Kluyveromyces lactis: one gene and its partners. The protein of the gene in region 3 interacts with the protein of the main gene of each other region in a biochemical or structural test. Links are inferred from orthologs where the notes say so. Each region holds a gene or a part of one and is shown on either strand. Other genes may lie near its edges. The genes, in order: ADA2, SPT15 and SPT8.

Region 1 (2,719 bases), on a different chromosome or scaffold from region 3:
AAACATCAAGGATACTACGCCGTTACCAATTCGCAAGTCGATGAAGAGCTCAGCAGAAACGTTATGTCCTACCTGTTTGATAGATGCCTCGAGTATATCAACTTATTTTCGGAATTTCAAGATTTAAAAAGAGAATATCTGATAAATCACGTATTGCAATGGCTAAAGGACGAACATTATAATATTTCCCTTGAGAAAAGTATGCCAGAAAAATATGTGGAATTATTATTGCATGATGTTACATTAAATATCAAATTCATGCCTGCCGGCGAATTAAACATCGACAGTCTCCAATTGTCCTTCAAAAAGTATTCTGCATACATCAGCAAATTAGATGAGACGAATGCCAAACAACTTACTACATTATATTCTGGTTATTTGACCCAACATCTATTATCCAATATGGATAAATCTGATTCGAAGTATGCTATTTTGAATGCTATTATCAAGAAACTGTAATGAGACACTGTATACACATTTTTATGTACATATTTGACATTAAGTAGTAAGGTAAGCAGTGGAGCCAATATTTCCACAGTTTTATAACTCTAATTAAACCCAATTCTGAGAAACGAAGAAATCATAGATTCTGTTGGCCTTCGTTGCCTCGATATTCAATAAATCACGACACTGTTTCTTCGAGAGTTGACCTGCAGTCCGTATTAATTCTCTGAATAGTACCTCTTTGATGGCAATGTAAGGCTTTGGCAAAATTTTCAACGTTATGCATAACTGCTGTTCCTCAGCTGATAATAATTGGAAATCTGCCCCATGCTGAATGTCACTGATAGTCATTAGTTTCTTACGTCCACTTCCTTCGTTATAATTTTGAGCATAATCAGCTTGCGATCTATGGGCCGAAGTAGCTCTATAACGGGCAGTGTTACTAGATGAAGAAGAAGAGTACACTTGACTTCCAAATCTTTCCAATGTCATAATTCTTGCTTGTTTATCACGTTCATATTTAAGACCAGCTTCCAAAGTAGTGATACCGTTGCTCCTCCATTCTTGCAATTGATGAATTCTTGTTCGACACCGAAGTTCTTCCAATATGTCTTTGCTGAATTCTTCAAAATCCAGCGGGGACATGATTCTTGCGAAAGCCTTAATTTTGTTGTACAAATCTTTGGTTTCTTTTGAACGCTTCTTATCGAGACTTTGTAGTCTCCTGTATTCCATCAGACAATTGTCAAACAACAAACGCTTCTTTTCTGCTCTAGTCGTCAATCTCGAGTTGTAGATGTCAAGAATAGCCAACTTCACTTCAATATCTAACGGTTGATCATCGGCGTCGAAGACCATATCTTTGACCGGACCTTCGGCCTCATTCTCGAACTCCGTTTCGAATTCCAATCTACCTGGCATAAACCCTTGCACTTCATGGCATGACGGTTGTGATGCCATCGGTTTCCTAGGAGGTTCCAAAGGCCTTTCCCTAAATCTTTCCATGCGTTTCTTTCTTTTCTCCAAAAATTGTTCTTGCGGTTCATTAATGTCTTTTGTGATATCTGGAATAGGATAGTGTTCACTGTTCAAGTAAAACTTCAAATAATGATCATAAACTTCTTCCTTATCTCTAGATCCGATATGATCCGCAATATCTTGCCAGTTACCTAATCCCAGTGTCTGGGCTCCTTTTATCAACAGTAACTCTTCATCAGCGCCCCAATCCTCACAGAGAATCGGGTATGAGTTGGTTTCAATCACTTTATAGTCATGGCTTGGCCGGTGCTTACCGTTGTATAACCCTTTTGCGAAGCATGGCACACATAAATCATACTCTGGACACACCGCACATGTTATTCTGACTCTGTTTGTACAATCTGCAGAACAAATATCACAATGGAACTTGTTAGACATGGTGACGGTTGAACAAGGAGAAGCAGTTCAAAGTCAAACAGATGTAAAGCTAAATCACTATAACAGTTTGCGGGTCCTCGAAGTTAGTTATCTTTTTATATCAATGAGTTTGACTTATTCTTTAAACTCTCTTGAAATCACTTGTTGATTCTTTAGAACATCATAATTGAACTTTCCATGTAAACAGGAGAACAGAATGCGGGACTGTTACATCCTTACATTCTTATTAAGGATGAAAAATCTGAAAATCCTGAAATTCGAGAACGCTAATTTCATAAAATTTGATAAAACCAAAAGAGGAAATACTACTTGGCACTTCGTAAGAGAATTGGGACGGAGGGGAAAGGTGTGTGGACTGGTACTGGAAGACAGAATGTCTGTCTAGCTTGCTGTCATCCACACGAGACGCACTTTCGTTCCCGAGTCCCATCTCTGCCCACTTTGGATGCTACCACGCACTCTCTTACCAGCTGTTCCTTCGGTAACATTGTGTCCTCCAGTGACACCTTCTGCCTAGCTCTGTCCAGCTTAGTATTCCCTTTGCATTGTGCTTCGTTTCCGTTCCCCGGTTGTGAGTGAATCCTGGTTAGTCTGTTTGTTTCAACGTTTGCACCATGAAATTTCATACTGTCTAGTAATAATGAACTTTTAAAGATTACGGTAACATTTACAAGACCAATTGTTGACAGTACGTGTTTAACACTATTCTAGCATTTGAAACAAGGAACAACCGTAAGGACTAAATCGATACAAAATGGTACGTTAAGCATGATGATAACTGACAAATTGAAGCGAAAAGAACCATAAAGATAAGAGATTATGAGAAGAAGTGTTTTTCCAGAGCTGGATTGATCGGGAG
Region 2 (2,715 bases), on a different chromosome or scaffold from region 3:
CATGAGCTGTGTCCATTTCACTAAAATAAACCCACATATCAGCTGGTATGCTGATCCCTTCATCGAGACAGTAATTAATAAACGAACACATCACAACGAAATGGAATTGTTCATGGTTTTTGATCACGAACAGAATATCTCTATAATCAGCCAACTTCCTTTCATTGCCTGGAATCAACTGCAATCTAAAATATTGAAACAGCACTTTCCAAAGAGACGTATCGAGCTTTGATATAAGCTTGGATAGATTTCGTAGTGCAATCTTATTATGACTTGGATCATTTTTATACAGCGGGATCTTACAAAGAAGAACGTAATCCACATACATCTTCTCATTGACCCATGTTGTACTTTGCAACCTCTCTCTGAGTGCTGAAAAATATTGCTCTGCGAGATCAATGCGATGAGTCTCTTCAATCAATAACGTAACAAGATCGTTAGTGATCTGAAAATCTTGCTCTAATGAAAGCTGGAAACCGCCATCCTTCAAATATCGCAGACATCGTATAGCCTGATTTATCAATGTATAATACTGACGAAGTTCCAATTCAGTTTCAATTTCCGTAACAACATCATGTGCAGTCAAAGTGTACTGTTTCGAGAGATGATATATCAAATCTAACTGCTGTGCTTTTCTGCTCAAGGACTTTTGATCAAAAGAGATCGGAACGTTTAGCAGCTCATCTTTGAAGGTGTCCATAGCTAGTATTGTGTATCATACATCAATCGGAAGCTATTTTCAGCATGGGCATATGCTGTTCTTGAGACACGTTAATTGACGTGTATTATTCTAGGGCAAAATGGTTATATGAAACTTTGAAATATATAAGGGAACCAGGATCCACGACAAAAAGAAGACAATAAGTAAACCACCGATGTACTCAGATCGACATGGTATAACTTCATCAAATAACAGGTTTGGAAATGACATGATTGAACTGTTTACAAGTCAAAGAAGTCTACTCTGGTGATTCATCATCATACTAATGAAAATTGATCATGTGACCTAGCTTCATCAGATTTCTTTCCCGCTTACAACTTTTTAACATAGGAAACCAAATATAAATCGTAGAACAAGTAGGAAAAACCAGTCAACACACAAAGATTGCAGTTTTAAGTCGTGTATTTCTGAGGCAGCCCTTTAAGTTATATCAATACTTGTATACTATCTGCTACTCCTACACGATCTATTTTTTTTGAAGACAGTTTTCTTCTTTGGTTTTCAAGACTTTCAATTGTTTGGTGAAATACTTCAAGAAGCCATCTTTCAGCGTTCGTTTATTATCAACTGTTCCGAGTATATCGTATCAAGTTAAACTCTACTACCGCAGCTTAGCTTAGAAGAAGATGTCAGAAGAAAATAGAATGAAACAGTTCCAAGAGGAAAACAAGATAGTATTTGATCCAAGTACACGATCAGTATGGGAAACTCAAGAAAAACAAGAACATGAATCTTTACCTGGAACAGATGCTAATGCGGAAGACGCAGATAAAGGTTCTGCCACTTCGGGAATCATACCAACCCTACAGAATATTGTGGCCACTGTGAATTTGGACTGTAGGTTGGATCTAAAGACGGTAGCATTACACGCTCGTAATGCAGAATACAATCCAAAGCGTTTTGCGGCTGTGATTATGCGTATCAGAGAACCGAAGACTACTGCATTGATTTTCGCATCTGGTAAGATGGTTGTTACTGGTGCTAAGAGTGAGGATGATTCCAAGTTGGCTAGTAGAAAATATGCCAGAATTATTCAAAAGATTGGGTTCAGTGCCAAGTTTACTGATTTCAAGATCCAAAATATTGTCGGCTCATGTGACGTGAAGTTCCCAATCCGTTTAGAAGGTTTAGCATTCAGTCACGGTACTTTCTCTTCATACGAACCAGAGTTATTCCCTGGTCTTATCTATAGAATGGTGAAACCTAAGATTGTGTTACTAATTTTCGTTTCCGGCAAGATTGTCTTAACTGGTGCCAAACAAAGAGAAGAAATCTATCAAGCGTTTGAAGCTATCTACCCTGTGTTGAGTGAATTCAGGAAGCTATGATGTTTTATTGGATGGTACTATAAAAATTCATTTTTTTATTTTATTAAACAATGCACTAATTCGATTCTCGGAGGTTTTGTCTCGTCTTCTGCAAGAAAACCCTTTGTTCCTTCTATCTTTCCTTCCTTATTGTCTTTTCATATCCATTCTGCTATAATAGAAGTCTTTATTATTGGCACCTTACTCTATGTATCATATAGTTCATACACAAATTTAACGACTAATAGCCATCGGTAAATGGTTTCCAGCTTGAGTTTGAAATGGATGAGGAATTCTGTCTTAGATAATGTTACAAAGTTAATTACATTTCAACAATATATTGAAGTTTAATGCTAGTATTTTTGGATCGTTAAGGGCAACATAAAACGATTAGCGGTATCCTTTATTTTCCAACTTGTTCTCCAACTGTTGTCTCAACAGGCGTTCTTGTTCTAGTTCTTTTTCGTATCTTAACTGAGTATCAGCTAAGATTCGTTTAAATTCTTGCTTCATCATTGAGAAAGATTGATGGTTAGAAGCAGATGTTGAGGATTTGATGTCACTGGATTCGGAAATTGCTTGTGAGAAGGATCTATCGATATCCATTGGAATTGATTGCATCTGTGAAGTGACTTTCGATTTCTCCTCGCGCTCCTTCAACTTACTATGATAGTGTAAGAGCTCTTC
Region 3 (3,766 bases):
CTAGTCTATACGACTAGCTCTTTTCTTCTAGAGTGTTTACGGCGTACTTTTCGCAAGTTGTGGCCTGTTTTTCTGTCGCCAGTTGGGCTTTGATGCACATTTCAGCACCACCCAGTTTCCTTTCTGGTACGGCAGTTTCTGGGGTTTCCTAACTGTTTTTTTTTATTCGCTTCGTATTATGCTTTTCATTCTTTTCGTTCCCTCGAGGCGAAATCCCGTAAACGACGTTATACGATTGGCAGCATTACGTTTTTTAAACGAGGAAGGGAGGGAACCTAGGCAATGGACCGATATATTACTCACGTGATTTATCTTTCGCTTTGTGTATGATTAAAGTCTGATTATGTATATATAGTATATTACAGACATATATCGGTTTGACCGTTTAGAAGTTGAATCAAAGCTTTTGGTCTTCGACTTGGTCTCTGGTCAACCAGTGGAGTGCAAGCGGGTATAAACTCTTCATGTAGCCTAGTATCACGGTGTGTCGTCCGTTGTCCTTTCGCTCTTGGACGCCCTCTATTTCCTTTGTAAAGTGGATATCACGTTGGTAATCCAACGTTCTTGTGATGGTGCCATCTTGCAAATGGATAATCTCATCAGCCCATGGTGCTAGCCCATCGAAAATGTGCGTTGCATACACAACGCTACATTGTCTGTCTCTCGTTTCTCGATCCAGGAATTGGAATAGACGGTCACGTGCCACGACATCCAAGTCCACAGTGACTTCGTCTAATAGCAGAACTTTGAAGGGTTTCAATAAACCCATGCACAGTTGTACACGTCTCTTTTGGCCATCGCTAAGTTTGAACATTCTCCAATTGATATCCACTTCCAAGATTCTCACTAGCTCTTCACCTCGAGCCCTGTAGTGGCTTAGTCCGATACTCTCCAAGAGTTCCAGGACTCCTATATCCCTGTGTACAATAGCCATACTAGCCCATTCAGTGCCTAAGTAAGTAGTCAGTATCACGGACTCCTGGTCATTGTTTGGTGCGAATGGGTTCTTGTTTCCAACTTTTATGTTCCCACCGAGACACAAATGTTTACCACTTAGTAGTTTCAACAGCGTAGATTTTCCAGCACCGTTGTTACCCACCACTAAGACTTTCTTGTTCCATTCGACACTTAGCGATAGATCGTGGATTGCTGAGCGTTTACTTCCGGGGAATGCGTACGTTAGATCGTGCACTTCCACTGCTAGGTCGTTCGAGGCCATTATTTGTTTTGGCTTGTAGTTTTCAAAGGTTTGAGTGACTTGTTCTATAGTTAGATACCGATTGAGCGGTGATTAGAAGCTCCGCCAGTGTATAATAGGATCGTTATCTTGTTGTCTCCATTTGAAAGTGTTCTGATTCAATTTGATATTTGGAAAATAAAACTGTTGATATTGAAATGATTTCAACCAAAATAAACCTGTCTGTACGAATTTAGGACACAGTGAATATGACAGGAAACACTGTAACACATCACAACAAAACATTGTCCTTTCCCACCTAAGCCACGTTCCAATATGGATGATGATGTGGATGAAATCTTGAATCAAAATAACGTTCAAAATACTCAAGATGATGATGTTGACATGGACGATGAATTGGAGGATGTAGATGTGGATGTTCCGAACGCCGAAGAGGACGAGCCGATGGACGAGGAAGAACAAGATGAAGATGCTGAAGATGCCGATGATGACGACGATGAGGATGAAGATCGGAGCGATGACGAAGATGCTGAAGATCGAAGTGAGGATGATGATGATGATGATGATGATGATGATGAACGCAGTGATGACGATGATGACGATGATGACGAGGAAGAAGATGAAGAACAGACAGAGAATGGTGAAGAGGGCACGAGAACGGGGGAAATTAAACAATCTAATACCCACGAAATTGGAGATGATGATGCCGAGAGTGCCGAAAAGGAATCCGCAACTTCTGAGAAGGATTCTCCATCTTCTTCAGATGGGAAATCTACTGAAATGTCAAAGCTGGATAAGATACATCAATATTATACGACTCTTTATAGATCTGCATCTGTAGCAGAATCTTATAATATACTTCCAACTGCAGCAATACCAATACAGACTAATGTACAGGCATTGACCATGTCCAAGGGTCTACGGTATCTATTTCTCGGTGGGTCAGACGGGTTTATAAGGAAGTTTGACTTCTTAAATACTGTGGATGGTAAGCTATCACTAACTATTCAGCAGAAGAACGCATTGGTGGATTCAATTGTCAATGCGGGTATCTTGACTTCTTATTGGGAGAATGAAGTACCGCAACCTCCGTCAAAAGTAAAATGGGTAAAACAAAAGTCGGAGTATCTTCCTCTCGTCTCACCTGTCCACTCCTTGGCGGTTCAAAATGAATGTTTGTTCATACTAGCCGGACAAGAAACTGGCGGTATCGTAATGCAGGGTGTTAGATATTTTGAAGGGAGGACTGCACACTATTTTAAAGGTCATAAATCCATCGTTAACCATCTTGTACTTAATGATGAGGAAACTAGGTTTTTATCGGGTTCTTGGGACAAAACCGTCATTGAATGGGATTTGGAAACAGGAACTGATATAACCAAGTTCAATGCTACATCACAGTTGTCTTCATTAGAATTCAGACCCACCAATGCCGCCTACGAACTTCCTGAGCCTAACTTGAGTGGACACAATCCTGATGTCGATAGCAATAATGTAGTTGGCAACGGAGATGCAGCTGATATCGATGATGTTGATACTAATTCATTGTTTGGTGATGATGATGATGATGATGATCAGGATGATCAACACGTAGCTACCAACGATAATACCGAGAAAGCTGAAGATAATACTCAACAAGAAAACAAAGATAAAAATGAGATACAAGAACACACATCAGAAAAGAAGGTCGAATCAGAAACCATTAGTAAGAATACTTTAGCTTTGAAAACGGATGAAAACTTATTTTTGACGTCTTGCATTGATGGTAATATTCAAATCTGGGATCGAAGACAACCCTCGAGCGAAATTATCAAACTTGGTCGTAATGTTTCAACACCGCCATGGTGCATGTCTGCATGTTGGTCAGTAGACGGGGGTAAAGTAATAGCAGGTAGAAGAAATGCTGTTGTAGAAATATATGATTTAAGAAAGCCCGAGGTAGTGGAAAGCAAATTAAAATTGCCATCAATTTCAGGACCCGTTTCTAAAGTGAAGGCAATGCCTAACAATAGCCACGTTGTTGCGGCATCTAACGATAACATCAGAATCTTTGATATTAACCATATCGATAAAACCCCACTTATTATTCCAGGACATCATGGTGGATGTATCTCAAATCTTTATGTGGATCCTACATGTAGATTCATGATTAGTACAAGTGGTAACCGAGGCTGGCAAGGTACAGCGACCGATGTAACTTTAATCTATGATATTGAACTAAATTAAACATTTGATGAAGCAGTGTTATAAGTATTCGGTAACCTGTATAAAATAAATACATGTTAAATATATCTGTATCATTACACGGAAGGCAACTAAACGGACTTATTACGGACTTAGCACCTTTTTCAAAGAATCTATCAACGAAGAACTATGTATAGTGTTGGTATGTGAAGAACCCACCTTGATTACAGCCGCAATTATGCCTATAACGAGAGACCATTTAACAAATAGTGGAATCTTTGGTGACGCTTTGACGATTTTCCTTGAAGCGTCCCATTCTATTTCTTTTGAAAGAACGTTTATTAATTCAGAGAACTCAATATTGGATACAGATATCAAACTACT

The links.
Region 1: the proteins of SPT8 (region 3) and ADA2 form a complex in vitro, tested with the Saccharomyces cerevisiae proteins (2 studies listed by BioGRID). The link is inferred for Kluyveromyces lactis from reciprocal best matches to the Saccharomyces cerevisiae genes SPT8 and ADA2.
Region 2: the proteins of SPT8 (region 3) and SPT15 form a complex in vitro, tested with the Saccharomyces cerevisiae proteins (4 studies listed by BioGRID). The link is inferred for Kluyveromyces lactis from reciprocal best matches to the Saccharomyces cerevisiae genes SPT8 and SPT15.

The regions. Positions count from the first base shown.
Region 1 is NC_006038.1:117,667-120,385, reverse strand, and holds ADA2 (chromatin-binding transcription regulator ADA2), read right to left. Parts: upstream 1,861-2,719; coding exon 553-1,860; downstream 1-552. Other genes in the region: snoRNA-binding rRNA-processing protein UTP6, read left to right, coding at 1-459; RPS17B (40S ribosomal protein eS17), read left to right, coding at 2,615-2,617. UniProt on the Saccharomyces cerevisiae protein: Component of the transcription coactivator SAGA complex. SAGA acts as a general cofactor required for essentially all RNA polymerase II transcription. At the promoters, SAGA is required for transcription pre-initiation complex (PIC) recruitment.
Region 2 is NC_006041.1:892,605-895,319, reverse strand, and holds SPT15 (TATA-binding protein), read left to right. Parts: upstream 1-1,347; coding exon 1,348-2,049; downstream 2,050-2,715. Other genes in the region: cohesin-loading factor complex subunit SCC4, read right to left, coding at 1-700; PEA2 (Pea2p), read right to left, coding at 2,419-2,715. UniProt on the Saccharomyces cerevisiae protein: General transcription factor that functions at the core of the DNA-binding general transcription factor complex TFIID. Binding of TFIID to a promoter (with or without TATA element) is the initial step in preinitiation complex (PIC) formation.
Region 3 is NC_006042.1:819,492-823,257, reverse strand, and holds SPT8 (SAGA complex subunit SPT8), read left to right. Parts: upstream 1-1,513; coding exon 1,514-3,424; downstream 3,425-3,766. Other genes in the region: putative ATP-binding cassette family ATPase CAF16, read right to left, coding at 398-1,219; GTPase-activating protein GYP8, read right to left, coding at 3,527-3,766. UniProt on the Saccharomyces cerevisiae protein: Component of the transcription coactivator SAGA complex. SAGA acts as a general cofactor required for essentially all RNA polymerase II transcription. At the promoters, SAGA is required for transcription pre-initiation complex (PIC) recruitment.